Rhinolophus ferrumequinum: one gene and its partners. The protein of the gene in region 2 binds, or shares a complex with, the protein of the main gene of each other region. Links are inferred from orthologs where the notes say so. Each region holds a gene or a part of one and is shown on either strand. Other genes may lie near its edges.

Region 1 (7,635 bases), on a different chromosome or scaffold from region 2:
CCATCCTGCCCCTGGGAAAGGTCAGGACCCTGACTCTGACCTACCACGCCGTCTGAGACCTGCCTGTCTGTGACCTCCCTGCTTCATCCCCAACCACTCTCCTTGCTCACTCTGTACACTGGCCACACTGGCCTCCTCGCTGTTCCTCAGACGTGCCAGGCACTCTCCTGCCTCAGGGCCCTTGCACTCTCTGCTCCTTCGACCTGACAAATTCTTTCCCCAGATTTCCACATGGCTTATTCCGGCCTTTCCTTCAGGTCTTGACTCAAAAGCTACCTTCTCAGCAAGGCCTTACCTGGCCACCTACCCATTATACCTTCCCTTCCTGACTACTTTCTCCTCAGCACTTACTACTAGCTAACATACTGGAATGTGTCTGTCTTCCCCCAACAAGAACGTGCACTCCAGGAAGATAGAGACTTTTGTCTGACTTTGTTCCCCACTGGATCCCCGGCACCCAGAAGACTTTTAATAATTATTCAGTCAAATGGGTGTACAGAAAATAAGAACCGTCATCTCACTTGCACGATGAGGAAACAGAGAGGTTGAATGAGTTGGGTCTCTATTTCCTCAACTGCTGTGAGGATTAAATGAGAGCTCTGCAAACCATAAAATGTGATGCAGGCCGAAGCTGCCACCACAGTCCTGCTCCTGGTGGAGACAGAGTGTTCCTTGGGACGTCTGAAAAGGAGAGCTCCGGAGTCCTCCCCACAAGCTGAGGAGAAGCCAAACAACGAAGGGACTGGCCCACAGTGTCTATTGGCTCAGCCGCTTCCAGGCTGGCTCTCTGGGGCCCGCCCGCACTGCCCATGCATTTCTGTTTGCTGCCATGCGCACGAGGGCTCGTGAGTGAGCACAGCCTCAGATCACGGATCAGTGAGCCCAGTAATGTTTGTGTTTTCCACTCCAGCTTTACCAGGAACCAACTCATGGATGGGTCCCCCCCTGAACTGGGTGGGTTCTAAACTGGGAAGAGAAGGGGTACGACTGACACCTTCAGAAACGCCAACAGTCATGAAGGCTGTAAAGGAGGCCTAAGGCCCAGCTTACCGCTGTGGGGGCCCAGTCCTGGCCATACACAAAGCAGTACTTGCAGTAGAGATCATCGTACTCAGGGAACTGTGGAAACAAGCACACACAGGGTCTGTTTATGGGAACTCGTGTGAGGCCAACATGTTAGCTAGGCAGGTGTAGCCAACAGTCATTCTGAACGTGAGACCCCTGGGCTGGGATCTAAGTGACAACCAGGAATGTGGACATGGAATTGAGCACTGGGGCTCGACATGTGGGAGTTCCACGGGTCCCGAACTGTTACCGCCCCTGGGCCTCAGCTCAGCCTCCGCCTTTTGTCTGACATGCCCTTCCCATTCCTTCCTCTGGCAAACTCCTACTCATCCTTCAAAACTTACCCTTCAGGGAGCCTGCCCTAACTTCTAGGCTGTCTGAAGGGCCACCTCCCAGCTCCTTCAGTCCCTGGTGCTTCCCTCCAGCAAAGCACTTGCCTGTGTTTATTCCTGTCAACCCCATGAAGCTGTGAGCAAGGAACAAGTCTGATGCCTTTCTGTGTCCCCAGCACCTGACACAGAGGAGGTCTAAGGGAATGGTGCTGAAGTGAAAGGTCTGACAATCCAGGGGGCTATCAGCGCAGGGAGCATAGGCCTGAAGAGTGGGAGGGGCCGGGAGCTCTGAGAGGGGGAGGCAGAGTGGGAGCGGGCTGGGTGCTGAGAATGCTACACCTGACCCAGTCCAGCTGAGAGCCCCAAGTGAGACAGAAGAGGGGACGATGGTCTTGGGCACTAGGCCAAGGGGCAGGAGGACAGGGTGGGAATATGGAGGAGCATCCCTGACGAAACAGGAAGGCAGTAAGACACCTACTAACACTCAGGCCCTGGCAGAGCTTTATCTAAACCATCTCCATTAATCCTCACAATGATAAAATAATAAACACCATCTCCAACAGCCTGGAAGGGCAGTGGAGCAAAGCTTTGGTGTCAGAAAGACCTGGATTCAAGTTTCCAGCTTTGCCACTTCCTTTGGGCAAGTTTTTCCATCTGTAAAATGGGGAAGTAAAATGAAGTAAGATCTACTTCACAGGGTTGTGAGAACTGAATGAGCAATGCTGAGCTTCGAGTATGGCACACAATGAATACGTACTTAGTAAACTTTATACACCACACACACACACACACAGACACACACACACACACACAAATGGTTCTTATAAAATGTAGGAGGATGGATAATGGCGAGTAGCATCCCCTGGCGTCCGACAGGCACACCCTCCCTGGGTCATTCCAGGCCACCGCCATCGTTGGATCAATTAACTTAATCATCTCCATTCCCAGCCAAGTTCAAGGGTCTGAGTGTTCAGAGTGCGGGGCACTCGCAGGGCACCGGACACGGGGCAGATGCCTCGAGCTCCGTTACGAGAGGACAAGGCCCAGTGTGCTGGCCGCGCCTCCGCTCCTCCGGCGAAACCCGCGCGAGGCTCGCTGTGACTCAACAGAAGGCGCACGCACGATCGTCGCGCGGGGCCGCAGGCTCGGCCGGGCGCGAGCTCGGTCCCAGCTCCGCCTCTGCGGGCACATCAGGGTGGAGGGCTCCCAGCAACCTCGCGCCAAGACTCTCAAATGCTGGCTCCCTTTCCCCGCAGAACCGAGGCATGACACGCCTCTTTGGGGCCACACAGCGGCCCAGGAGGTTGCGGGGCGGGTCCCCAGGGGAGCGTGGGGGTGGGACCGCGGCGGGGTCCACGGCCGCTCACCTGGGCGCTCTCCACCTGCCCGTTGACCATGAGTAGGAAGACGCTGGGGCCCGCGGCCGCCATGGCAGGGGGCGCACGGAAACCACCCGGGTTCCGCGCGCGATTGCCCACAGGCGCCGGGGTTGCCCTGGAAACAGATGGCGTGGCGGGCAGAACACGTTTCTTGAAAGCCCGACCTTCGAGAAGGCGAGCGTACGTGGGCGGCGGTGCGCAGGCGCAGTCCGCGGCCCCTCCCTCCTCCGGGAATGCTGGGAGAGTCCACGCGAGGCAGGGGCGGGAGTGGGGGCCGGGATGCGGAAGCCAGCCCGGCGCCCAATCCCGTCACAGCCGCGGCCCTGCCCCGCCCGAGCGGGCCTCGGCAGCGCTCGGCCGGGAGGCGGCGCTGCGGCTTCATCTCGGGGCGACGGGGCGGGGCCGCGGAGGGAGGGGCGGGGCCGCGGAGGGAGGGGCGGGGCCGCGGAGGGAGGGGCGGGGCCGCGGAGGGAGGGGCGGGGCCGCGGGGTCTGGGGGGCCGGCTGGACCGGGCGCTCCGCGTCGGGTCGGGGGGACGCTCCCGCGGGGCTTTTAAGGCCGTCGTCTCCAAAACGTTTATTAAACAAAGATGGAGGAACCTCAGAGGATACTTGGAAACGAGTCACCGCTCCTCAGTGTGAAGGGGGAAACTGAGGCCCACGGGGTGAGCCAGAACCCACGGCTCTGTCAGGACATTGTTCAAATGACAGTTACTCCGCAGCTGCCCCGAGTGGGTCGCAGCTACTGTTAACACATTGATCCGGTTGCTCTTAGCTCTCATGGTTTGCATTCGCACATTTATTATTTATTATTGTCATAACTCGGACTAAGGCTCGCCCTCCCCGCCCCCCCTCCCCCCAGGGCCACCCTGATCTGTGGCTCCCTGGCACATCTTGTAACAGCTTGTTAGCTAGGTGAATACCTGAATCCATCTCCATCACACAAAGAAGGAAGCAGATTCAGGAGGGGAGGCGACTGGGACACAGTCAGCAGGTAAGTTTAGGATTCAAACCCAGGACTCCACAGGCTAAAGACCCTAACCGCCTCTTCCTGGGCCTGAGCCAGGCCCAAGGGTGCCTCTTGGCTGAGCTGTAGAAGCCGGTGAGGTGGCGTTGGGGACCTTATCCTGGATCCAGGAAACGAAAGGATACACAGGACTGTAGACTTCTGGGAGTCCAGGCCCCATGCAGGGACTCCAGGTCATTACGCCCTGCAGCAACCAGCTGCGATTTTGGGAGCAGATTAGGGGAGTCCCATCAGACACCTGTGCCGGAGAGGAAAGGACAGGTTACAGCCAGCCCAGACCCACTGACCCCTCCCTCCACGTGAGCAAAGACCTGATTAGGGGGAGCCTGGGCAGCCAGTGTTCCTACCTCGGTCGGGAGAGGCTGGATGAGTGGGGCTCCTGTGCACCGCAAGGCTCTCAGGCAGGGATTTCTGCTCCCAGGGACTTGCATATTCCCTTTCCCAGCCCTTCAGTGTGTCTTCCCAGTTAAAATGCTTTCCCCCACAAATTCTACCACTGTCACCCAACTTTTTCCTCCTTGTGGCTTTTGAGGCTCAGTATTACACAAAAGTCAGTTTTCAACAAAATGCTTGTGATTATCAAATAACCAGGGGGCTCCCAGTAGTTTACAACCTGGCTATGTCAAAGGCTGCCTCACATTTGAATAGGACCTAACGGGGGAGACACCCCAAGGGTGGGAAGCTCTGGGGTGGCCATCAGGGGTGCAGATAAGCCGGTTCCCTGGGTTTTGTGGAATGGGAGACCCCAGGTGGAATGAGAGGGTAACCAGGCCTAGCTCGATCAAGTCTAGTGGGACTAGGAGGGACTGAGGTGGAGGGCACCTCGGGACCAGCAAGTGCCAGGCTGGGATCCTCACCACCAGTTTGAGGGCCCCGGGGAGGGGCCTGGAGCACTGGGAGCCTTTGGACAGGCCGACGTTCAGGTCAGGGCAGTCAGGTCGGAGGCGAAAGGCATCTTTGCAGGTTCTGATGTGGAGCGGTCTCAAGGGGACACTGTGCAGTTCTTGGGGTGGCACGTAGGGATCTGCAGGGCGGTGGGGACAGACCCTCAGCCCTGATTGCTATCCAGCAGGTTTGCAGCAGTCCTGCCCTGCCAGTTGTTAACATACTGCAAAGCTTCCCTGCCTGCCTTGTCTCCCCCCCCCACACACACCCTCCTGGGCTTCCAGTCCTCTGGACACTCCTCAGCCCCACCTCTCTCTTAAACAGTCCTCTGTTAGACTCTCACAGTCCCCTCAGGAAAGCTTCAAGCCCACTGAGATCTGGGACACACTTCAGCCTGGGGAGGGGATGGGGACAGTGCCCAGTGCCAGCCATCTGGGCTGCGTGGAGCTGGAAGCTGACTCAGGCAAAGCAGGGTGGCAGGGCCCTGCCTCTCCCTCGCAAGTCTGTGTCCGTGAGGCTGACCAGCGGCTGGCCCGGGCAAGGTTGTCCTCTGGGGCTCAGGGACTCAGGAGTACTACCTCTGCAGGGTCCCAGCAACACGCCGGCAGTGCTCCTCGTCCAGTCCAGCCTCCTCACCACCCTCAACCATCCCAATCACCTGCTCCCATCCTTACCGAAATCAGGCTCGAACCCTTGGGCCCAGCAGAGCTGCCACTTGAGTAAAGGTTGAGGCCAGGTGGCCAAAGGCACAGGCTGCACGGCACTGCTGAGAGATGGTGGCCTTGCCAGCCGGGCCAGGGCCAGGCCACCGGACCCAGAGCCCTTGGGCCCTCCTGGGGACAGCAGCAGCTCCTCCACTCTGGACTTGCTCTTGCAAGTGTCCAGTGCCAGTCGATCTGGGCCCAGGGTCACACTGTAGTGGGACTGAGGCCAGCTGTGGAGAGTGGGAGGCAATGAGGCTACGGTCCTCCCTCCTGGGGCCCCGCTCCACCACCTCCCCGACCCTGCACACACCTGCCAAAGCAGTTGGCTCCTGTGAGGACCCACTCTCGGGAGATGAGGGCCCCCTCGCAGCGGTACCGGGTATCCAGGAAGATGCTTGCCTGCCAAGGCCACGTGTCTGGGCCCTTTCTGCTGTAGGTCTCAGCAAGCCTTGGCCCTGCACCTTGGGAGAATGAGGCCTCATAGCTCAGCTCTGGGTCCCGGCATCCTGGACGTCTCCCATTCATCTCTTTCCTCTCTGTGCCCCCATCTTTCCATCCAGGCCTCTGCTAACCTCTGCAGCCGCAGCTCCCACCTCTTGCCCCCCACCCCCGCCCCTGTTTGAAACCACACTGCCTGCAGTGGAATCCTGTGTGACTTAGAGCAAGCTACTTAACCTCCCAGAGTCTCAGTTTCTTCGTCACACCCACAGGGCTGTTGTGAGGATTAGATGTGATAATATATGTCAAATATTTAAAACAAGCTGAAGTTCAATACCTTTTTAGCTGTTTTTCTTATTAAAGGTAGTTCTTGGAATACTCATGCTTTGTTATGCCTCCAGGTGTATAGCATATCATCCCCCAGCTGCTCCCCCTAGACGACGCCTGTTCAGGCTTCAAACCCCACCTTTGTGAAGTCTTCCTTGATCTCTCCCCATCCCCCCACAATCTGCCCTCTGGGAGGCTTTCCTCCCCTTCTTGCCCAGGAGCTCATTACAGGTGGGGGTCCAGCTCTCCTTGCTTTTCTCTCACAGGATCATTGCTAAGGCAGCTGGGCCTCCCCCCACCTTGTTAATCTAGAAGGTCAGGTCTCATCTACGTGGAGCTCTTCCTTGCAGGCCAGACACCCCTACTCACTGCCTGTCACCTACTCTGTCCGGCACCCAGGAGACCTGGATTCTCAGCCCTCAAGGGATGGATCCCTTCCCCCTCTACTCCCCGGGCTCCCTACCCACAGCTCCTTACCAAACAGCAGGAGCAGCAGCAGTGGCAGCATTTGTAGAGGAGGCCCGAGTCTTGACTCCACTGGGTGTGGCCTCCTCCCTGTCAGCCCAGGAAATTTAACCACCCAATGCCCCCTCCCTCCCATACCCATGCGGCCCACGTCATAGGGCACAGGGGAACTGGCCTGGGGAAGAGGAAGCTGTGCGGCAGGGCCTGAACCATGGTGCAGACATCCTGCTTACAGACCTTGGCCCCTCCTGGTTTGGGGCCGGGGACCTCCTAGCTCTGGCCTGCTTTCCGTCTCAGGTGAGTGTCAGAGAGACCAGCCGACCGCGGTCGACAGCAACAATAATAATCCTCCCCCCACCTCTTCCCATCCCACAAAGCTCTGTAGCATCCATAGGACAGGGCTCCTTACAACAATCCACAAAAGCAGTGCTACCACCCCCTTTTATAGATGGGGAAGTCGAGGCTCAGGGAAGTGAAGTGACTTCCCGAGATCACAATGAGTTGGAACCAGAGTTGGGATTCGAAGTACGGCTGCTGTGACTCTTAAGTCTCCAGATTATTCCTCTCACAGCCCTTCCAGGTCTTTCTTCCTGGCTCAGCCTCTCAGCTCTCCAGTAGAGAGAGCTGGGGCCACGCCAGGAATGCCTGTTGGTTCCCTGTAGAATGGGACACAGGCCAGGCCCACAGCTGAATTTCACAAGTGACACAAAGCCCTCTGTGGCCTGCCGGGTCCCTCGGGTCCCTCCTGCTGCTGCCCCACCTCCCTGCCCCTCAACCTTGCAGTACTAGATGCCTGCACACACACTGTCCGGTTAAAAATCAAAAATCGTAAGCATTTGTTTTTGTTGGGGTGGAATTCACATGGCCTAAAACCAACCATGTCTATGTGTACAATCCAGTGGTGTTCAGTACATCATGTTGCCTTTACACACACTCTCCCTTCGCACCTGGAAGATCCCTTCCACCTTCACTGCTTGAAAGCTTCTTATTGAACTTCAAGATCCGGGTAAGTAA
Region 2 (7,120 bases):
GAGGAAAGGCCAATCTCTTCAACAAATGGTTAAAAACTGGATATCCACATGTAAAAGAATGAAGTTAGACCCTTACCTGACACTATATACAAAAATTAACTCAAATGGTGTAAATACCTAAATGCAAGGCCTAAAACTATTACATTCCTAGAAGAAAACTGAATCAGAGAAAAGCTTGAACATTGGATTTGGTAATGATTTCTTGACTATGACACCAAAAGCACAGACAACAAAAGGAAAAATAGACAAATGGGACTACATCAAACTAAAAAACTTCTGTATATCAAAAGAGACATTCAACAGTGAAAAGACAACCTATGGAATAGGAGAAAATGATTGCAAATCATATATCTGATAAGGGATTAATATCCAGAATATATAAGGAGCTCCTACAACTCAGCAACAACAAAATGCTGATTAAAAAATTGGCAAAGGACTTGAATAGACATTTCTCCAAAGGAGAGATACAAATGGCCAATAAGCACAAGAAAAGATGCTCTACATCACTAATCATTAGGGAAACGCAAATCAAAACCACAGTGAGCTATTACCTCACACCTGTCAGGATGCTACTATCAAAAGAAGAGAAAATCATAAATGTTGGATGTGGAAAAGTTGGAACTCTTGTACATTGTTGGTGGGAATGTAAAATAGCGCAGCCATTGTGGAAAACAGTATGGAGGTTCCTAAAAAAATTTTTAAACAGATTACATTTGATCCAGCAATCCCACTTCTGGTATACGTCCAAAGGAATTCAAAGCAGGGTTCCAAAGAGATATTTGCACACCCATGTACATAGCAGCATTATTCACAATAGGTAAGAGGTGGAAGCCACCCAAATGTCTATCCACAGATGAAAGGATAAAGAAAATGAGATATACGCATACAATGGAGTATCATGTGGCCTTAAAAAATAAATCCTGTCACCTGCTACCACCTGGATGACCCTTAAGGACATTATGCTAAGTGTAACTTGCCAGTCACAAACGGACAAGTATTGTATGATTCCACTCATATAAAGTAGCTAAAGTAGTCAAAATTAAAGAAATAGAAAGTAGAAAGGTGGTTACCAAGGGCTGGGGGGAAGGTGAAGGTGGAATTAGTGTTTAGTGGCTACAGAGTTTCAGTGTTGTAAGATGAAAAAGTTTTAGACATCTGTTTCACAACAATGTGAAAACACTTAGCAGTACTGAATTGTACACTTGAAAAATGATTAAGATGGCAAATTTAATGTTGTATGTTTTTTTTACAATCATCATCATCATCAAAGGAATGGATTGTTGATACTCATACATGCAAGATGGATGAATCTCAAAGGCATTAGGCTAAATGAAAGAAGTCAGGCTCAAAAGGCTGCATTCTCTATGCTTCCACTGATGTGACATTCTGGAAAAGGGAAAACCATAGGGAGAGAAAATAGATCAGTGTCATCAAGGGCTGGGATGGCGGGAGGGACTATTAAGGGGCATGAGGGAACTTTTGGGAGTGGTAATATTGTTCTATGCCTTGATTGTGGTTGGGATCACATGACTGTATGTGTTTGTTAAAACTCATAAAACTGTACACCAAAAAAAATGTACATTGATGCATGAGAAAAACCTGGATATCAGAAACTGTACATAAAAATTTATACTGTATTAAGTTATCCCTCAATAAAACTAAAAAGAAAAGTGGGGTAAATATGACAAAAGTTCTAATCTGCATGGTCTTGGTCCAGTGTACAGTGTTCTTTTTTGTACCTTTCATTGTGATTGAAATGCTTCAATCTGAAAATAATAAAAACAATAATGATTCTTAAAAAGCTAACTAGTTTATTCAAACTGCAGTATGGTCTAATAGGACGCAAGTTTAAAGTTGTCTGATAAACAAGGAATTCTTATTTCATTCCTGTCAGTGTTATGTCTGTGACCGTATTTATAACTTCATTTTCAGAAAAGGTCAAACTTGTACATTTGAAACCTTTCAAGATAGTGAAGTCTGCTCAATAGGCCTTCTTGCCCTCATGTTTCAGACAACATCTGAAGAGCAAGAATAGCACTGGTGGTTGACTAAGCACTTGGGGAATGGGAGGAGTAGAGAAGTTGAGGATTGCTTTCTTCTGAGTGCTGATCTAGAAATCTATTGCTAGATTGCTCACTTCAATCAAAACAATAGAGTCAATCCTTTGTCCTTACACAGCCTGGACCTCCCTGTAGGTCTAAGCAATCCCTTTATAAAGCTTGATGATTCTGCCTTCTTATTTGTAAAATATTTGGCTCAGATGAATAAAGATGGGTAGATATACTTGATCATAGGAAAAACTGTTTCTAAAACAGCTTAGAAACTATGACTCTAGCGATAATAATAATAATAACCAATTCATCCCAAACCACAGGAAACACCAAGACCGACTGGTTAACCCGGCCTTGTAAAGTCAGCCTTAGCTATTTTTCTGCCTAGCTAGTACTTCTGTCTTTGGTTTGTTTTCAGCCTCCTCATATGTGGCAGCTTCCAAGTACAAAATTCCAAAAAGCTGAATTGTCCTGATTCCTCCCAATGTTGGCACAGACTATGAGGAATTGAGAATGCCAATAATCTAGGAGAAACAGATGGACATTTTTAATCACAAACATTTACCCTACAACCTAAATGTTGCAGTTTTGGACAAAATATGGAAATCTTAGCCCTTCCTTGTGTCCTTCCATCCTAATAAGGGAACCTACCAAGGCCAGGGGAGAAGGAAGGGAGAAAGGATCATCTGGGTTGAAAGATGAAAAAAGCGTGGCAGAAATGGGTCACCTGTGAAATGACAAGTTTAGCGTTCCCAAGGTTTGCAAAATGGATCTGAGGTGATTCAACCCTCATTTCGATTTTCTAAACTGTCATAAAATTACGTTTGGGTCATCTCCCAAGTATCTGAGAGTGGACAAACGGGGTGGTGAGATTATTTCCTAAACCATAAAGCATAAAGATGACAATGTTAAATTTAATCTAACAGCCTAAAGTTTCAAAACAGAAAATAGGACAGAGTGATTCACAGATATTAAGGAATAGAAAAGAAAGTATCTAGAAGTAAACAGGTTTTTAAAAAACAATAGTGCTGGATTTAGAGTTATGGGATGAAAGTTTGGAAAATATAGTTGTTGTTTTTGTTAAAGGTAAGCATTACATCAGTTATTAAAAGTAGTCCAGAATTTCAGTCACATGTTAAAGCAATCCTTTGTAGAAAATAAAAAAGGAAATATCAGTATTACACATTTGATTCAATTACATTTTTATACACTTTGGAATGCCACAGAAAAGTACTAAAGATGTCCCTTTGATGATTTAGCTTTGCTATATAAATTCAATAAACTAGATATATATACTGTTTGGGCATTCTTCTAAACTGGTAAATGTGTTTTTTAAATAAATACCATGATATGTTTAAGTATTCTGACATTTACTTCTGAATTACAAGGATATTAAGTATCAAAGGTATTGCAAACATCCTGGGCCGGAGTATCTCTGTACATAAGTCACTTTGGAATGGAGGGGCTCCCCTAATTTTGTAGTCTTCAAGTCATTTTTAGAGTTACAGAGTTGCTTTGATTTTTTTCCTTTTAATACTTGTAAGTCATTCCACTTAATTTTTGTCAATGTTTTTTGACTGTAAAAAAGTTAAGTGTTCATTTGTCCCCTTTATCACAACACAACGAGCTGAAGTTATCTGGCGACCTGCTGCGAGATAAAACAAAAAAGGCAAACCAAGTGGTGACAGTGTGGGATAGAGAAAATTCAAGGATGGTGATGTCATCTCTGTGCTCCTTCAAAAGACCTTATTTAGTAGCGTCCCAAATTTCTGTCCCCCCACCGGTTGCGTCCGGACATTTGTTGAAAATATTGATTCCTGGACCCTGCCCAAAACTGTCTGAGTCAGAATCCCCTGAGATGGAATTTGGAAATCCGCATTTTTTAAACAAGCGCCCCAGTCGGCTTGGGAACCGCAAATCTGATATACACAAACCTCTAGTCTCCGCCGACCGGTCTCTCACCGCCCCTTGTCGCACAGTCCCGCGGTGGCCCGCCTCACCCAGGCCCCGCCCTCAGCCCCAGTCTCGCGTGTCTTCGCAGGATACTTCCCGTGAAGCCCCGCGCCGGCCGCTGTGGTTGCCAGGCAACGCGCGGTCCCTACCGCTGGCCGCACGGGTTCGCGGCGGCGATGTCGCCCCTCGGCTTCCATCCGCTCTTGCTGGTACTTATGGACTGCTGGGCCTCTGTGCGCGCCCAGGCCGGGGCCACCCTGGCGGTGACGACGGAGGCTCTCAACTCTACGGAGCCATCCCCGACGAATTTCCGACCTGCCTTGTCTCCTAGGCCCCCGGGACTCCCCAGGGTCCCCGGGCCCTTCTCCGGTCCCAGGCCCACCCCAGTCACGGATGGTGGGTACTAAATGCCAAATCCTGGGGATCCAGAGTGATCCATCCTGGAGGGGTAGCCCGGATGAGGATGTAATAATAATGATAGTTACCGTTTATTGAACACTTACTTTGTGCAGGCATTGCTAAGCGTTTCATAGGCATTAATTCTCTCAACAACCTTCAGAGGTAGATATTATCCTTGCCATACAGATGAGAAAGCCGAGGCTAACAGAGCTTTAATTGGGACAATATCAAATCCTTGAAAGTACTTGCAGAGGTCTTGGACAACATTCATGCGCAAGGTAATAATAAATGAGCCTTTGCAGCCAAAGTCGCAATTAAACCGAAAGTGTCTAGACAGTTGTGGAAATTAAATGCATAGGATGCACTGAACTTTTCACTTACCAAAAAGAGACCCCAAAAGTTTACCTTACTAAATGTAACCAGGTGAAATCTCACTGTCTGTTAACTTGAATTATGAAAACCCCGAATTCCTCTTGTGTTGAGTTCGAGATGGGAAGTTGTGGGGTGAAGGGTTATGTCCACTTTTTAGGATTCATCTTTAAAAAATTAAAAAACTTAAGTGGGAAAACTTTTGTGTTTCAGACTACGAGAGGATTTTGTATTTATTGACAAAACCTTCCCTTTGTCCTTACACACTTCTTTCCAGAGTATGTTATTGTACCTTTTTTGAGCTACATTTTTCTAAAAGTCATTTTTATTATGAAATAATTCATACATGCGAATAAGAATGTTTTATGGACTCTCTTCCAGCATTTACTTGAGATCCTTTTTTTGGGGGGGGTTGTTTTTGCATGAAATCCTTTTGAAAAAAAGAAAACATTGCAGGTTAATATTGAAGTGCTAATGTGTTTCCTGCCTACCCAGAAATAATTACTGCTATGAGTTCAGAGTTTATCATTCTCATGCTCTGTTATTTCTTTAAAAGGGGTTCCCACCCCCCATTTGACAGATTAAAATAGGGAATTAAAAATCCAGATAGTCGTCATTATTAAAAAATTAAAAGTTGCTACCTTTCCCCATGCTTTATTGTCTATATTACTAGAGATATTCCTACGGCCCCAAGTATAAAGCACTTGAGTCATTTTGATTCTTGGCCAATAAATAGCCTGCTAATGTGGGCTCAGCCTCAAAACTGCAGGTGATGTCTGAGGAGAGAAAGAAGATTGAGAACCTTGATTCCTGGTGGCCTTAAGTGGGCCCTTCCTCTGAATCAATCTCTAGGGGAGGAATTTGGGAATCTGCAGTATTAAACCGGTGGTTCTTATGGTCAGGCAAGTGATTTAGTTTGCTGGTTCTTAAACCTGTCTGAGTTATCAGCATCACCTGGAAAGTTTTTGAACAACACGGATGTCTGGGTTTCACAGTCAGCTTACCAGATCAGAGTCTTTGTATATAGAGCACAAACAACGTTCCAAGTGAGTGAGATGGTTGGCCACTTTGGGGAAACCCCAGCTTGAGGAGTGCTGGAACTGATTGATTTTCACTTCGTAAATTTCCCCCAAATTGCAATAGGAAAAACCAAATGGGCCTTTTGTATGAAATGGACTTTTGGTACATTGCAGTGGCAGGGGGCGCGGTCACTACCTGCAGATTGTGATGCTCTGTATCCCACCTGTCTTTCTGTAGTTGCTGCTCTTTGTGTCTGTGACTTGTCCCCAGCACAGTGTGACGTCAACTGCTGTTGTGATCCCGATTGCAGCTCCATGGATTTCAGTGTCTTTTCTGCTTGCTCAGTTTCAGTTGTCACGTAAGTTTGTGACACATGCAGTTTTGATAAAATCGGACCAAGATTATAAACTTTCAGGACGGAAAGTGAAAACTCCCCCAGGCTAAAACACCCAAACCTGATTTTCTGAGTTTTGCATCATTCAGAAGCCATGTTGTCCAAACCTGTATACAGAAGAGTTATCTATCCCTTATTTGCATCCAGCCAGATGATAGTGCAGGCAAAAGAGAAGAGAGTGTACTTTTTAAAAAGAGTATAACAAAATCTTTGTGTTCAAAGATGGAATTACATTTCAGTTTGATTTGTAAAGAGATAACATGTCACATTTTTGTATCAGTGAATTAGTTGTATTTACAGCCTAGGGTGAAAGGTACAGTTCAATTTTACAGCTTTTGTGGTGGACATAGTACTTATAACAAAAAAATTAAATAGTCAGGTAAGCTTTGTTTATATTTTTCTGATGTGTAAATCTACCAGGAATTCTCACAGTTCACATCATATAGGAAAATAATGGAAAATGACATTCCCAGTCCATTACACGGTAAAGAAATAATCCTTTCTGAATGATCTGTTTCTCCTAATTCAGATTTCAAAACTTCTGGGAAAAAACAGCATTTAAAGAGGCTAATTTATTCAGGATGGGATCAACATACTATTCAAAGATAGCCAATTTAAATTTAACCTTGTAGCAAGTGGTAGTAATTGATACTTGATAGATTGAAAGCTTTTTGCAAGTACAATGTGTTTTTCCCATGAGAAACTATTTTACTGACTAATGGGAAATTGAATTTACTTCTAATGTTGTAAAAATGCTTGGAGAATGGGATGTTGTAGTCAGATTATTTTTTTCTGGCTACCTGGACTACACCATGGTTTAGTCTATGTTGAAAATTATCCTGCTTTCCTGCCTTAGGAAGTACTAGGAGCCTGAGAGTGAGATTTCTGCCCCAATTTGAGATCATTCTTTAGAATATCAGTTCTTTTTTATTAG
Region 3 (7,861 bases), on a different chromosome or scaffold from region 2:
GTAGTCTGCAAGCCTACACTAGAAACCCTGTCAGGTCCTCCAGGCCCTCCAGCAGGAAGAAGGAAGCAGCAGCCACACCACCTGCAGATTGTGCCTACTCTGCTCCAGCTTGGCTGCCAGCGGCACAAGGCAGTTCCTAGACAGGCTCTCTTGTCGCCCCTTCATAGGCTGCTGATTTAACACAAAGCACCCAGTGAGGCCAGAAAGCTCAGGGAGCCAAAGGAGAAGGAAGCTATGGGACCTCGGAAAGAACAATACCTCCTCCAAATTGGTGTATCTATCAGAGTCAGTGTAGGTAAAGATTCGTCGGTTCTTCCTGCCACCTGAGTCCTCCAGCTTCAGGATCTCTTGATGGTACTGATGATCCAAAGGGCTCTGACAGGCCACTTCATTTTGGTACAGATCTACTTCAAACTAAGATCACAAAGAAACAGATCTTCTGAGAATATACCAAACTTTTGTTCCTACATCTGTTTAATTAAAGCCGTTCCATACAGCTGAAACGATCTGATACATTTTCATGGTCAACTCTCATTTATCTAAACTAATGGAGGGTATGGGATCCAAAGAATGTTAGCGCTAAAAGGAACCAGAGTGATGGTCTAATCCAACTCCACTTTTACAGATGATATGTGGCTCAGAGGTGAAAAATCCTCGCCCAGGATCATAAAACTGGGTGGTGACAGTCAGTATGTTACTGCCCCTGTAAACACAACAGGGGAAAGTATAAACTGCTTCAAGCTTTCTGGAAATCAGATTGACAATATGTACCAAGAATCTTTCCCTGATACCATCCAGGTGGAGGTGGACCAGGTAGAAGACCAAGCAGACAAGTGACACTGGCTCACCTGACTAAAGAGCTTCTCCTGCCACCCAATCAAGACCTCTTCCTCTTCATCTTCATCTGGGCGGTGTCCACCTCCAAAGACAACAGAGTGAGTCAAATGTTTGGGTCAAACCAGAACCACTTCTTGCTCTGTGATTAATTATAATGAAAGTCACTGCTCGTATATTTGCCACAAAACCAGTTGGAGTTCAGTGATTTATTAAGCACTCACTCTAGACAAAGGCTGGAAAGACTGTGGATGTGTATGTAGAAGCCAGGATTAAGAACCAATATGTCTTAATCACTACTCTAATTTGAATAAAAGGAAGTCATGCCTTCCAGGAATTATTTAATCTAATTCAGTGTCAAGCGCTGAAATTTAGATCTAAGCTGAATAGCTCGTCCTCAATCCCAACTGTCCACCTTTGCTAGAAAGGAAACCCTGGCATTTTTATCATTCCTATGCCTGAAGCCATGTATCTAGAATCACAAACACTGTAACCGTAGGAAACCAAGTATCAGGAGAGAAGAGGAAAGGCAAGTAAATATTATATAAAAAACCAAATCTAATACTCTCCTAGCTGAGTATGCCTTTTTCAGAGATACATGCTTCACAACCCACTAGCCCACACTTCTTCCCAGGAATATTTTTTGAACAGAATCAACAAAAGAGATTAGTGGCCTAACACAAGCACACTGCCCTCTCTTCCGCACTCTTCTGGCTTCCCGGATAAGGAAAACTGCAAGTGCACAGCTGATGTTAATATGCACATTTTTCAAGCAGACTCCAATTTTAAAATAGTTTTTAAAAGTGTTATATGTATACTTAGAATTTGGAGCATATTTTCTCTTAGAAAAAAAGAAATGCCACAAATGGAATTTAAGTCGCCGGGCAAATTTATAACATATCTAAAATGTGGTATTTGGTATTTCACTACATTTGACCATAATTACCATCTGTATCTTGATGACAAGAATCATGTCTTATTAAATTTTCATACACAACATAATATAGCAGTTAAAATGGCCTACGATCAAATCCTGACTTCAACATTTACCAGCTGCGCGACCTTGGGCAAGAAACCCAACCTCTCTACGCCTTTTCGCAGACTACAGCCCTCCGTCTATTTTGTCTTAAGAGGTAACTACCACCCTGGGCGATTCCCAGATCCCCAAGGGGACACATCCCCACCATACACCCACTGGCGGTTTGAGGCCTAAAAGTGGCCAAGTCTATGTCCTTCCCGCGCTGGGCAGCAGGCTGGTAATGTAGGAAGTTGCTTGATGTGATTCTTTGCAGGTGGACTCTATGAAGAAAAAAGAAGCCCAAAATACTCGTTACAAGACACACAACCAGGAGATAAACATGAAGCAAAGATGGGGGAAACACGACACGGAAGAGGGTGGGGCTACCAAAGTGTGCGGGGTGCAGGCAACTGAGGGAAGGTGAGTGGGGCGCGGGGTCCCAAGGGGAAGACTAAGGATGACAGAGTGTGCTGGGGACACAGGGCTCCGAGGAATTTGGGAGGGGCAGGGACTTGAAAGAGCTTGGGTAAGTCTGGAAGATGCGCGTGGAGAGGGTTCCGGGTAGTGAGGGGAGACGCAGGGAGACCGCGGAGGCAGTGAGCAGGGTTATAAGCGGAAGTGGGGGCCGCCGAACACTGAGCAGTGACGTTCAGGCTCGAATTATCTGACAGCATGAAACCACGGGGCTCTGAGGCGAGGCGACTACCGGAGGCGCAAGTTGCGCACGGGGTCCCGGGAGCGATACACAGCTTCCCCCGTGTCAGTGTTCCAGACGGTCTCCGCCATGACAGCTGCAACCCGCCGCGACTGCGCCGGAAAGCGCGCCGACCCCAGTTTCCTAGCAACGCAGACGCTGGGTTGGGAGGCGGAGGAGATGCTGCGAAGCAATTCTCGCTTCTCGGCGCTGCGCCGCAGCGGTCAGCCGGGTGCAAGCCTGGGCAAGGCCAAAAGCCCCTCTCAGGCTGGGGCCCCGCGGAAGTACCGCTTACCTCCTGTGCGAACAAAGCTCACTCACACCCAGGCCGACTTGATGCACTTTACAAATGAGGAAACTAAGCAGAGCCATTTGGGCCCCTTTCATAAAGATTCCTAAGTGGTTATGGGCACCAAACCTAGGTCCCTGAATCCCGACCACTACTTTTTCCATCACACTACACTGACTTCCACTGAATGCTCCGGAACTTTGGCCTGAAAATGGGTGGACGTGACTCACAGGCTGTTTCCATTTCTCCCAAAGGGGTCAGGGAAGGTGATGACACTTACTCAGACATGAAAAATATATTCTTGGACCGAAAAAAAAAATGTCAGAAGATTTATTATTGCTTGGGTTGGTATTTACTAAAGGAAAAACAGTAAGGTAAGAAAAGATGTTATTGAACTGGTTTTCCCCTGCGTGTCAGTTCCGGATTTTTAAGACCTTAGATACTGCACGGGCCTTCTGAAAAGCCAACAAAGTACTATTCAGAAGTCAGGCTGAATGAAGGACTGTCAAAGGCAGGATACACCATAACCTCCAAAGGTCGTGTCATTTGGTGATCCTCCCGACAAAGTAATTGTCCCCTGAAGTCAGGAATCTTATGCCAGTTTAATTATATGGCATTACCGTTGTGTAATACAAAGAACTCACCATAATAGCACTATTATTTATCATTAATACAGCCTGAGTGTTTCGTTTATAGTGTCCCTAATCCCCATAGACATCCCTTAAGTAGGTATTGTTATTCCCATTTAACTGATGAAGTTAGTGAAGGCCAGGGCTTAAAAGGGCTTGTTTAGGTAGAACTCTAAGTGGTGAAGGAAATCGGATTCTAGCCAGATGCTACTTTTGAAGGCTGAACACCTTCTACACCTTCTTTTGAAGCCTGAACACCTTTTGAGGTAGAACCTCAAAACCTCTCACCTACCAGATTGTTCCTTAAGAGGACAGAATTTCCAACCTGGGAAATAATTATTTCAACTGATAAAACCATGGAAGCAGAATACTAGCTCTTCAGAAATAGTCTCTCTAATTTTTCCTTTTAAAGTTGTGAATATACAACACTGTGCCACATGAACAACAAATGATAAAGGTGGAGATTGCATCAACAGTTTAGTTTTATAACCAAATAAAACTTACAGCAAAGTCAATCTGATATAATTATAAACAAAATAGTTACTGTACCATAATGGTATGGAAATATATTATTTGTATAAGTAACCATAATTGAATTATTTTTATACAGGTAAATTAGGTTATAAAATTCTATTGTGAAATTCTAGAATGTAAAATTCTATTTTTTATTTTCTGGTGCCTGTAAAGCCGTATTCTTAAAGCCAGAGTCCGTAAGTGGTGTTGGTGTTCAAGGAGTCTATGAATTCTTTCCTAGAATTTTGTGGGGAGCATTTTCTGGAAGGAGTTTATGGCTTTTATCAGATTCTGGAAGGAGTTTGTATTCTGATATCAAGAATGGCCTGATCCCCACTACACTTATACACTGATATCTTGGTAAAAGTCTAAAGTTTAGATTATATAGCATAAAGAGCAAAATCCGTTTTACCACCACCAGCAATCCTTCCACCCTCATTCTCAACCAGGATGATTCAGAGCTGACATTTACTGAGTTCTCCCTAAAATAACACATTCCATCATTTGGAAAAATTTTTTTGGTTTAGAAAACACTTACATAAGCCATCATGAAGTGTAAATATTATTGCCTCCTTTTCACATATTTGTAAACCAAGACATTAATCAAATTTCTCACGGTTTTATGAGTAGGAAGCCTAGAGCCTGGAGACTGACATTCCAGATGTTCTGACTCAAACTTATGGGCTCTTCTTTGAACTGTGCTGCGTCCTTATATTTACTCATCCCCAACCCCTCCCCCAATTTTTTTCTTTCCTAAACCAGTCCCATCTGAACCACATTAAAATAGCCCTTCCCCCTCCCCAGTTGTGACTTTATAATGTACTTGGGCTCTCCTTACTACAAGACTTTAGGAAAGCAGAAGAAGAAGAGGAAGAGGAAGAATATCATTACAGGACATTTTTTACGAAGTGAAATATTTACCTACCATACTGTTATCAGGAATGACGTTTTCCTCGATTTTTGTCTTCTTGAAGGAAAGAATTCAATCAAGATACAGAGTTTGTGTTTCATAAGACAGCAAGAAGTTTATTAGTAAAAGTGAGTATACTCCAAGACATGCAGCTGGCTGACCCAAGAGAAGGAAGCCACCTCTCCTTACGTTCTGAGAGGTTTTTATTTCTATGGGTAGAATTGTTTCCCCCTCTTCCTCTCTATAATGTCCCCCTCTCTCTGCTGAGGTGTCCCATCCTCCCTTCTGGTTCCCAAGGTTGTTTCTCAGGGTGTAATTACGAATCCGTTAATTTCCCATGATTTATTTGAGAAGCTCATTAAAATGGCCCTGAGAAACAGGATGTATATTCTGGTAAGCAGGATGGTTTCCCTCCCTTTGAGGCATTTTTCCTTCTTCTAGTGATATATCTTGTTCTCAATATCCTGCTCACCAAGCAAGGTGTTTGTACCCCAAGTGAGAGCAGCTTCCATCCTTCTACTGCTCATTTCTACCTTTCTACCCACCCTATCAATATGATCCAGCAATCTCACTCCTAATTATTTACTCAAAAGCAAAGACAACATATACCCACACAAAGACCTAATGTGAATGTGCATAGCAGCTTTATTCGCAATAGTAAAAATGGGAAACAGCCCAGATGTCTACCAACATGTAAATGTTTAAGCAAGTCATATAATATCTATACAATGAATACTACTCCACAATAAAAACAAAGTAAAACAACATGGATGACTCTCAGAAGTCATTGTGCTAAATGAAAGAGGCTGGACACAAAGGGCTATATCCTGTGTGGCTTTTTTTTATATGACATTATAGAAAAAAAAGAAAAATTATAGAGCTGGAACACAGATAAGTGGTTGCCTGAGGTTGGGTTTGAGAACAGGGGTTGACTATAAAGGGGCAGTATAAGGTAATTTGGGGGATAATGAAACTGTTCTATATGGAACTGTTGTGATGGTACACAACTCGTTGCATTTATTAAAACCTATAGAACTGTGTGTCACGATGAGTGACTTTTACTGTATGTAAATTGTAAACTATTTACCAGGTTGTGAGAGGTACCTAAAATGTAATGTAAACTATAAAAAATGAATCTAACTGTTATAAATGACTCATATGCTACACTGAAGGGAGTGAGAAAGAAAGGAGCCACCCTAAGTAACTTTGGAAAACAGTGTTTTGACTGGAAACTGAAGGCTAAAGATAAAAAGAAATCCGCAAATGATATATTCTAGTTGGTAAATTTGTTTGTCAGAAAGGTATGGGTTAGCAATTCTGAAACTACTTTATATGTATATTAAGGTTGAAAAAATAAGTATATATATATTTTTATATATTATATACTTTTATAAGTATATATAATATATTTTTATCTATTATATATACATATATATACTTATTTTTTCAACCTTAATATACATATAAAGTAGTTTCAGAATTGCTAACCCATACCCTTCTGAGAAACAAATTTACCAACTAGAATACACATATACACACACACACACACACACACATATATAGATACACATATATATGCGTGTGTGTATATATATATATACATATATATATATATGGTGCCAAAAAAAGTATACACATTTTAAGAAAGTAAAAAACTGTATTAAAATTGAAATACTCAATATATAACGATACCAAAAGATGAATACAAGTCACGTTTGACTTCTGCAATTACAAGAGGTGCTCAAAATGGTTACCATCAGCATAATTTTAATACATTTTTTTCCTTTTTTAAAATGTGCATATATATTTTTTGGCACCCTCTCTATATAGACAGGGTCATAAATGAATATAGTTATGTACGTATATATGCATGAGTTGGTATCCACACATATAGTTCATAGCTCTGTCCAGTGAGACAGTCTAGAAGCAGTGACTCCCCAGTAGAAATGAGCACTCCCGGTACCCAGACCTTGGTTTCTAAATACCATCTTCCATTACAAAGCAATCAGGGCTCATTGGAGAATTGGTTGATTCCCTGAAAGAAGCGGAATGGAATCCTGTTAAGCATTTCTGGATTTCTGGGCTAGGGAGCATCCATCAGCCAAGGGCAATCCTGAGATGGGTGTAGGTATGAGCTGTTAACGGTCAACATGATAGCGGCTGCTCAAGAGGACCTGGGCAGGACACCAACAGCCTCTGCTACAGGTACATTTTGGAAAGCTGATCCCAGGAAACACTGATATGGGCTAAACCCAGGCTAACTTACGCAGGGCACCCAGAGAGTGAGCATCCCTACCTTTTCCCAGCCCCTTCCGCGCACTGTGTCGACAGGTAAAACTGGTGGGACCACATGGGCATGACATTATTATAGTCAGTAGGAGAATAAAGTAGGTCAGCAGTACCCAGAAGCTCAGACGCTGAAACAGTTTGTTTATATGTCAAAGCCAGATCTCAACTGTCTTTTCCCAAGAAACATTTCAGCTTCTGATAATTAATTGCTTTTACTTTGGGAAGCCCTCGTTTCCTTACAGTGTGTACCAACAGGTTAGCCCAGGTCTTCAGTGACATGTCAAGACTTGGAGCAATAGGAGTGTCCAAATAGTAGGACTCTGCTGACATTAGCTTCTCTGGCCCTTCCCCTTCCAAGAAGACGTTTCCATTTTTAAAAATATGGGGACATTAAAATTCACCTTCTGTGTTTCTTCCTTCCTTGGTATCCTCCTGGAAATACAAAGAAATTAATCTCTTCAGTAAATTCTAACAAGTGGCAGAACTTTCTGCCAACTGTGGGATTCTTTCAAGTTTAAGGTCATTCAAGTTCACTGAATTTCCCCAAATCAGCAATGACCTTTTGCAAGTCTATATTCATATCTGCAACAATAATTTTGAGTCAAGTTTTTGGCTTTTCTCTCAAAAGAATCATGTGGCTACAGCTCTTGGTGTTGAAATTAGGTGGTAATGAAAATTACTTTGA
Region 4 (7,697 bases), on a different chromosome or scaffold from region 2:
GTTCGCCGTAATCGGAAGTGTCTGTACACTGATGATAACTACTTTTAGCACCTCTTGTAATTGTAGAAGTCAAACGTGACTTGTATTCATCTTTTATTATCATTATTATTATTATTGGAGAATATTGGGGAACAGTGTGTTTTTCCAGGATGTCAAGTCGTTGTTTTTTCAATCTAGTTGTGGAGGGCACAGCTCACTGGCCCATGTGGGACTTGAACCAGCGATCTTGGTGTTAGGAGGATGGCACGACAACCACTGAGCCAACCGGTCACCCACCAGCGGCTCAGTTCCAAGCTCAAGCCATTGTTTTCAATCTAGTTGTGGAGGGCACAGTTCATTGGCCCATGTGGGAATCAAACCGGCAACCCTGTTGTTAAGAGCTCGCGCTCTAACCAACTGAGCCACCTTGCCACCAACTGAGCCATCCGGCCGCCCCTGTGTTCATCTTTTGTTATTGGTATATATTATTGCAATTTTAATATTTTTTTCCTTTTTAAAATGTGTACACATTTTTTCGGCACCCTCTGTATAACCCCCATTTTACAGGCAAAGAAACAGACGCTGAGAAGGAAAGTCAGTTGTCCATTCATTCTACGCACATTTATTGAACACGTGCTGTGTGCCAAGCACTAATCCCCATGCTGGACGTAGAGCAGGACCGCAGCAGACCAAGGTCCCATGGTGTAGCAGGACTCAAACTGAGCTCTGTCTGACTGCAGAGCCCAAGCCCTTTATCCAACTGCCCCCAAGCTCTCTGCTGGATTCAATGCCCCCCACAACAACTCCTTGAAATAACAAAAACCTTATGAGTTGTTGCTCCCTCTGGGCTAGGGGAGGAAAGCACCAGGCCTTGAGTCAGGCTTTTCACATACAATACTTCCCAACACCCCTGTGAGGGACAAATATCCCACTTCACAATTGAGGAAACTGAGGCTCCAAAAGGGGAAAGCACCTGCTCAGGGTCACAGAGCAGGTGAATGGTGGGGCCCAGAATGGAAACCGAGTTTGACTCCAGAGCCTGCCTCTTCATCAGCTCTCCTGGAGAACCACAGTTTCCCAAGGAATCTCAACCACCACCCTGGCCACCAGTGGAATTGCAAAGGACCCAGGGCCGGAAGAGATGATGATGACAACAACCACATTCCTTTCACGGGCATTTATCTGTGTTGGGCAACATATCAAGGGCTTTACAAACAAGATTCCATCCAATTTTTACACAAGCCAGGCAGACACTGAGAACTTACTAGGCCAGGCCCTCTCCTAAGTGCCATTGTTATTCATTCAGTCCTCATAACCACCCCATAAGGTAGGTGGTTGTTATGCCCATGTACAATCAGGGAAAGTGTCAAGGTCACAAAATTAATAAGCAACAGCTGGTTTTGAACCTAGGCAGTCTGTGCTCTTAACTTCAATACTATGCTGCCTCTCAGTTGCTATTAGCTTCACTTTCAGACAAGCAAACTGAGGCTTGGTTAAGTCCAAAGGCCTCCAATTAATAGGTGGTGGAGTTAGTATTTGAGCCCAGATCTGGAGGTCCTAGCCAGGACACTATACCAGGCTCTACTGCCTCCCATGGGGAGGCATGAAAACTGGGCCCTTCAAGGTCCCTCCTGGGCCTTGTGGATGGACTTGGATGACTGCCAGAATGGGGTTCCTACCTTCTCACAGAGAATTATGAACACAGGAGGGTAGTCTCTCTGTAAATTTGGGATGGAAATTTCCATTTTACAGTAACTCAATAAATGGAGGCTGTTAAGCAAAGAATTAAGAGCGAGGAGGGTCCCAGGGCACCCCTGAGACAGTGAGTGAAGTAGGGTTAAGGCTGTCTGGTGTTCTGAGGATTGGAGTGTGTGTGTGTGTAGTCTAGCCTATAGTCCCATATCCTTAAGGGCTATGTGTTCAGAGGTGGGAGCCAGAGCCTCCAGAGATGGGCTGGGAAGGGATAAGAAGGGAGCCTGAAATTCACATGTACACAGTGTAGTCAGGGTTAGGAGTGCTGACAGCCGATGTAAGACAAGGAGTAGCGACAGGGCCAGTTGGTCAAGGAAAGAGGGTGGAACCTCTAGGCTGGGGGTCTTGGTGGGGAAATGAACCAGGCCCCGCGCAATACCTGTGTGCACGCCCCACTTGCAGAAGAGGCTATTTTCTGAGAAACCGGTGGCCCCCACGATCTGCCCAATCACGTGCGCCTCAGCCATGGCCCTGAGAGGAGAAAAATATAATCACAGCCCTGTTAAGGACACTGTTTCCACCTGACAGATAGGAAAAAGGCTCTCCAAATAAGGGGCAGTACTAGGATTCCAAGCTAGTTTCGTCAAACCACTGAGGCTGGGGTCTGAACCATGATCCTAATTGCCTTTCCAGGAGAGTCTCGAAAAAAATGAGGGCTGGGCTGAGGAACTGGCGTCTAATTCAGCCGGCCCCTAAAATAAACTCTTCCTCTTAGTGCAACGGAAAGCCCCGCCTCAAAGGTCAAGGCCCCGCCCACAAGCACAAAAGCTCCGCCTCCTAGTGTCGTCGGCTCCCCCCAGCTCCCTGACGCGCATGCGTTTTAAGTGCAGAACCACCAAAGCCCCGCCTCTAAGCATACGCATGCGCTATTCCTATTTCAGAACACCTAACGGTTAGGAGGGGTGAAAGCGGCAGCGGGGGTAAGAGTTCATGGGCCTGACCTGACCCTCTCTCCGCGGGCGCTGACTCCCAGGCCTAGTTCGCGCTTCTCCCAGGACCTTCCGGACAGCGAGAGATCCGAGGTGCCGAGCCTTTCGCCGTCGCGCCCGCCTTCGGCCTCCCTGGTTGTTACTAGGGCAACAGCAGCCTCCCTTCCTTGCCTTATTGGCCCTGCTGCCTGTGGGGGCGGGGCTAAGGTGTGATGGACGTTCTCTCCATTTTGGGAAAAGCGTCTCCCAGTCACAACGCAAGGTTCTGGCATTTGGGGCGTGGCCTAACAGCTGCCATCTTGAGTGTGGCTGAGGAAGTTTGAGCGCAAACTGTATTTCCCAGATAACTGTCTTAACAAAATAAACAAGTCCATCGATTCCCCATACCCCTCCAAACTCCTCTCCAGCGGGGACCACCAACCAGCGACTTGAGCCAGTGCCAAGGGGGACTCCCCCTCAGAAGAATGCACCCTTCTGCTTCATGACTGGAAAAAAAAAAATCCTTCCTCAAGTTGGGGAGGGGGTTTTCCTTCCTTTTTTAAAGTTCCCCAGGGTCCAAGGGACTGATAATCCAACTTCCCTCTCAGAAATACTGCCCAGTTCTGTTGTGCTGATTCTGAGCAAGGGGTGGGGTGTGGTGAAGTGGTAAAAATGAGGAACTGAGGCTCCTTTATCTGCAGAAAATCCGCTCTAGAAGACTGGACTCTGCCAAGTAACTTGTGTGACGTTGCACAGCTCTAAGGTTTCAGTTTTCTCATCCACGCAGTGGACACAAGGACAGTGACTGAGCCAGAGGCTCTCATTCTGATTTCCTGAGCAGTGCCTTTGCCGCTTTCTAAATAGAGTTTAACCATAGTGCTTTATTCCTCCAGCCCAGACCAGGAGTCCAAAGGGAACTTAGCTTCTTAGTCCCTTACTTTTTAGCAAAATGGGGCAACATTTCAATAGGACAATATTTATATAAGGGGCCGGCCCGGTGGCTCGATGGCTCAGGCGGTTGGAGCTTCGTGCTCCTAATGCCAAAGGCTGCGGGCTCGATTCCCACATGGGCCAGTGGGCTCTCACCCACAAGGTTGCCGATTCGATTCCTCGACTCCCACAAGGGATGGTGGGCTGCGCCCGTGCAACTAACAACAGCAACTGGACCTGGAGCTGAGCTGCGCCCTCCACAACTAAGACTGAAAGGACAACAACTTGACTTGGAAAAAGTCCTGGAAGTACACACTGTTCCCCAATAAAGTCCTGTTTCCCTTCCCCAACAACAAAAAAAAATTTATATAAAGACAATTATTCAATGGGATAACATTTCACTATAGGTATGCTTGAAAGCTACCATGTGTTGTTATTTCTTTGTGTCAGCCCCCCAAAACTAATCTTTTTGCATACACAATCTCCTTTAGTCGTCAGACATGTCGCTGGGTAAGTAATATTATCAGCTTAATTTAAGATGAAAAAAATAGAGCAAAATCATTCGCTTTAAGCCAAATTGATCATAATTCCATTTGACTCTGTCCCAAAACTTTGTTCTTAACCTCTCTGCTATCTTACCTCTCTTGGATACATGTCCCAGAATCAAAGGATTATGGGGTGTCATCTAGATGCTATCACTTCCCACATCCAATCAGTCATCAAGTCCTGTCAGGGCTCCTTAAATATTTTTTTCTTTAATTGGTTTCTTCCCCCCTGGCTGATATTAGTAATTAAGAAAAATGCTTCCCAGGTCAACTGCCTGGATTTAAGTCTTGGCTCTGCCCCTTCTGTGTGACCTTTAGCCCTCAGTGCCTTATTTTCTTCATTTGTAACATGAGAATGAATGATGGTACCCACCTCAAGACTATTGTCAAGATTTAATGAATGTATGAAGCTGTTTTAAAATATGTCCACAGATTCTTTGACATCCTTTCTTTCTTTAGGTAGAACCTAATTCCTCTACCCTTGTGTGAAGGCTGCACTTCTAGCTAATAGAGTGTGGTAGAAGTGTTGTGTGACTTCCAAGACCAGGCCATAGAAGGCATCGAGGCATCCTCCTCCCTCTCTCTTGGATGGTTCACTTTGAGAGAGACCAGCCATCATGAGGTGACAACAGTACAGCAGTCAATGGAGAGACCCACATGGGGAGGCCACATGAGGCCTCCTGACAACAACTAGCACCATGTGAGTGACCGGTCTTGGAAACAGATATTTCAGCGTCAGATCTTCAGATGACTATTGCACTGGACCAACATGCTAACTGTAGCTTCATGAGCCACCCTGCGCCAGAACCACCAGCTAAGCTGGCGCCAGATTCCTGACCTACAGAAACTATGTCAGTGATAAATATTTGTTGTTTTAAGCCACTGAGTATGGGGGGATAATTTGTTATGCAGCAGTAACAGATAACTAATAAAATACGTAATGAATTCAGGATAGTGCCTGGCGCATAGGAAGCACTGTAATATTTGCTGTGATTACTGGTTTTTATTATTGTTACTGAAATGAAATATTTTACATATTTTTCCAAGAAGCACAGTGAATATGTACTTTTTGCTTTTTATTTTTAACTTTTTAAAAATTTTGTTAAAATATACATAACATAAAATTTATTTCTGAACCATTTAGTGGCATTAAGTACATGCGCATGATTGTGCACCCAATCTCTAGAACTGTTTTCATTTTGCAAAACTGAAACTGTACCCATGAAACAAAAACTCCCCATCTTTCCCTTCCCTAGTCCCCGACAACCACCATTCTACTTAGTGTCTCTATGAATTTGACTGCTCTAGGTACGTTGTATAAGTAGAATCATTTAGTATTTGTCCTTTCATGATTGGCTAATTTCATTTAGCATAATATCCTCAAGGATCATCCATATTGTAGTGCATATCAGAATTTCCTTCCTTTTAAAGGCCGAATAATATTCAATTGTATATACACACCCCATTTTGTTCATCCATTCATCTGTTAGTGGACACTGGGTTGCTTCCACTTTTTGGGCTATTGTGAATAATGCTGCTATGAACATGGGTGTACAAATATCTCGTCAAGACCCTGCTTTCAGTTCTTTGGGGTGTATACCCAGAAGTGGAATTGCTAGGTCATATGGTAATTCTATTTTTAAGTTTTTGAGGAACTGCCATACTGTTTTCCATAGTGACTGTATATATTGTTTTACATCTTGCTTTTTTCACTCAGTGAAGCATCTTGAAAATTTATCCATGTCAGTATACAAAGATCTAGCTTACTCTTTTTCAAAAATAACTGTTTTGAAGTATAATATATGTGCAGAAAAGTGCACAAATCAAAAATAAGGAGCGAGGTCAAATTTCATGAACTGTACTCACATGGTAATTCAGCTCAAGAAAAGAACACAAGCAGCTCCCCAGGATGCTCGTCATGTGTCTTCTAGGATGCCCCCAAGGGTGACCACTAACTGGACTTTTAACAACATGCATTAATTTTGCCTGTTTTTGTACTTTGTATAAATGAAATCACATAGTATGTATTGTTTTGTGTCTGCCGCCTTTTGCTCAGAATTTTGTTTCCGAAATTCATTTGTGCTTTGGCTTCGGGCTGTAGATCTTGTTCATTCTCATTGCTTTATAAGTTTCCTGTGTGTGGAGATGCTACATTTATTTATCCATCTGTTGATGGGAATTTGTCTTTTTGTTGGACATATGTTCACATCTAGTTGAAATGGAATTGTTGGGTCATAGGATATGTTCAGCTATAGTAGGCATTGTCCAGCAGTTTTCCTGGTGGTTGGGCCAATTTGCAATGTATGAGAGTTCCTCTTTCTCCACATCCTTACCAACACTTGGTGATGGAGTTCTTTTTCATTTTGGCCATTCTGGCGGGTGTGTATTGATATCGAATTATTATTTTAATTTGCATTTTATTGATGACTAATTGAGTATTTTTATTAATGTCCATTGTTCTTTGTATTTCCTCTTTTGTGAAGTTTCTGTTCAATTATTTTGCATATATATATTTTGCATATATATATATTTCATAACATATATATATATATTTCATAACTCATTATTTCCAACAGTCAAATCCTCCTAAGAACAAGGGAGGATTCTCCTATATAATCATAATACCAATTAAACATTTTCCACAGTATCAATTTAACATTGATACAACATTGATCATCTAATTTATTGTTTATATTCAAAGTTCCCCCATTGTCCCAATAACATGCTTTATCACCATCTGCTACTTTGTATTTAGTTGTCATGTTTCCTTACTCACCTTTAATATAGAACAGGCCTGCCAGGTTTTAAATTTTTTGTTATTGTTTTGTTTTTCGTGACAGTGACATTTTTGAGGAGCACAGGCCAGACACTTTATAGAGTGTCCCTCAATTTGGCTTTGTCTCATGTTTTCTTGTGGTTAGGTTCAGAGGATGGATTTTGAGCAAGAAAACCAGACATGATGTTGTGTCCTTCTCAGTGCATACCAGGGGGAATGAAGTCTATTTGTTCCAAACTAGTGACGTCAACTTCTACACCTTAAGGTGATGTCTGCCAGTCTTCTCCATTAATACTAATTTTTCCCCTTTGTAAAAATATAATAAGTCATCTGTGGGAAGATACTTTGAGACTAGATAAATATCCTGTTCCTCATTGAAATTTCATCAATGGTTTAAGCCTCCACTGATGATCCTGGTTGGAAATTCATGTTTAGTATTCCAGGACCATCACAAACCCTAAAAGGCCTGGGCTTCTTGTGACCCCCTAAAAGGGGTGCATTTGCGGGGACTGTACAAGGCTGATGGTGGCCAGAGAGATCTAAATGGAAGTGAATGAATCTCAAGGGTGGCCTAGCGAGACGAAGGGACCCATAGAACTCGGAGATTCGGTAAAAAACTGAGGTTGGTGGGAATTCATGCCCCCATCCCACTAATATGTACTAAAGGCCTGCTTTGTGCTAGATGCTGTTCTAGGCCCTGAGCCATTACAGCGAACACAACAGATCAAATCTCAGGCCCTCTGCAGGTGACACTGATTGAGAGGATTGAAACGACAAACAACAGAAACATATACAGTAGTCTCCGCC

Evidence for each region.
Region 1: TCTN1 (region 2) and B9D1 share a complex: the UniProt entries of both Homo sapiens proteins name them as parts of the tectonic-like complex. The link is inferred for Rhinolophus ferrumequinum from reciprocal best matches to the Homo sapiens genes TCTN1 and B9D1.
Region 3: TCTN1 (region 2) and MKS1 share a complex: the UniProt entries of both Homo sapiens proteins name them as parts of the tectonic-like complex. The link is inferred for Rhinolophus ferrumequinum from reciprocal best matches to the Homo sapiens genes TCTN1 and MKS1.
Region 4: TCTN1 (region 2) and B9D2 share a complex: the UniProt entries of both Homo sapiens proteins name them as parts of the tectonic-like complex. The link is inferred for Rhinolophus ferrumequinum from reciprocal best matches to the Homo sapiens genes TCTN1 and B9D2.

Annotation. Positions count from the first base shown.
Region 1 is NC_046304.1:160,424-168,058, reverse strand, and holds the start of B9D1 (B9 domain-containing protein 1), read right to left. Parts: upstream 3,002-7,635; 5' UTR 2,828-3,001; coding exon 2,765-2,827; intron 1,120-2,764; coding exon 1,051-1,119; intron 1-1,050. Other genes in the region: tryptase gamma-like, read right to left, coding at 3,813-4,040, 4,660-4,826, 5,362-5,621, 5,702-5,852, 6,634-6,664. UniProt on the Homo sapiens protein: Component of the tectonic-like complex, a complex localized at the transition zone of primary cilia and acting as a barrier that prevents diffusion of transmembrane proteins between the cilia and plasma membranes.
Region 2 is NC_046308.1:6,243,210-6,250,329, forward strand, and holds the start of TCTN1 (tectonic-1), read left to right. Parts: upstream 1-4,119; 5' UTR 4,120-4,180; coding exon 4,181-4,400; intron 4,401-4,516; exon of another isoform or gene 4,517-4,681; intron 4,682-6,029; coding exon 6,030-6,150; intron 6,151-7,120. UniProt on the Homo sapiens protein: Component of the tectonic-like complex, a complex localized at the transition zone of primary cilia and acting as a barrier that prevents diffusion of transmembrane proteins between the cilia and plasma membranes.
Region 3 is NC_046304.1:27,437,693-27,445,553, reverse strand, and holds the start of MKS1 (tectonic-like complex member MKS1), read right to left. Parts: upstream 3,006-7,861; 5' UTR 3,000-3,005; coding exon 2,842-2,999; intron 2,691-2,841; coding exon 2,559-2,690; intron 2,134-2,558; coding exon 2,030-2,133; intron 920-2,029; coding exon 849-919; intron 415-848; coding exon 259-414; intron 1-258. UniProt on the Homo sapiens protein: Component of the tectonic-like complex, a complex localized at the transition zone of primary cilia and acting as a barrier that prevents diffusion of transmembrane proteins between the cilia and plasma membranes.
Region 4 is NC_046298.1:39,663,872-39,671,568, forward strand, and holds the start of B9D2 (B9 domain-containing protein 2), read right to left. Parts: upstream 3,017-7,697; 5' UTR 2,933-3,016; coding exon 2,673-2,932; intron 2,203-2,672; coding exon 2,111-2,202; intron 1-2,110. UniProt on the Homo sapiens protein: Component of the tectonic-like complex, a complex localized at the transition zone of primary cilia and acting as a barrier that prevents diffusion of transmembrane proteins between the cilia and plasma membranes.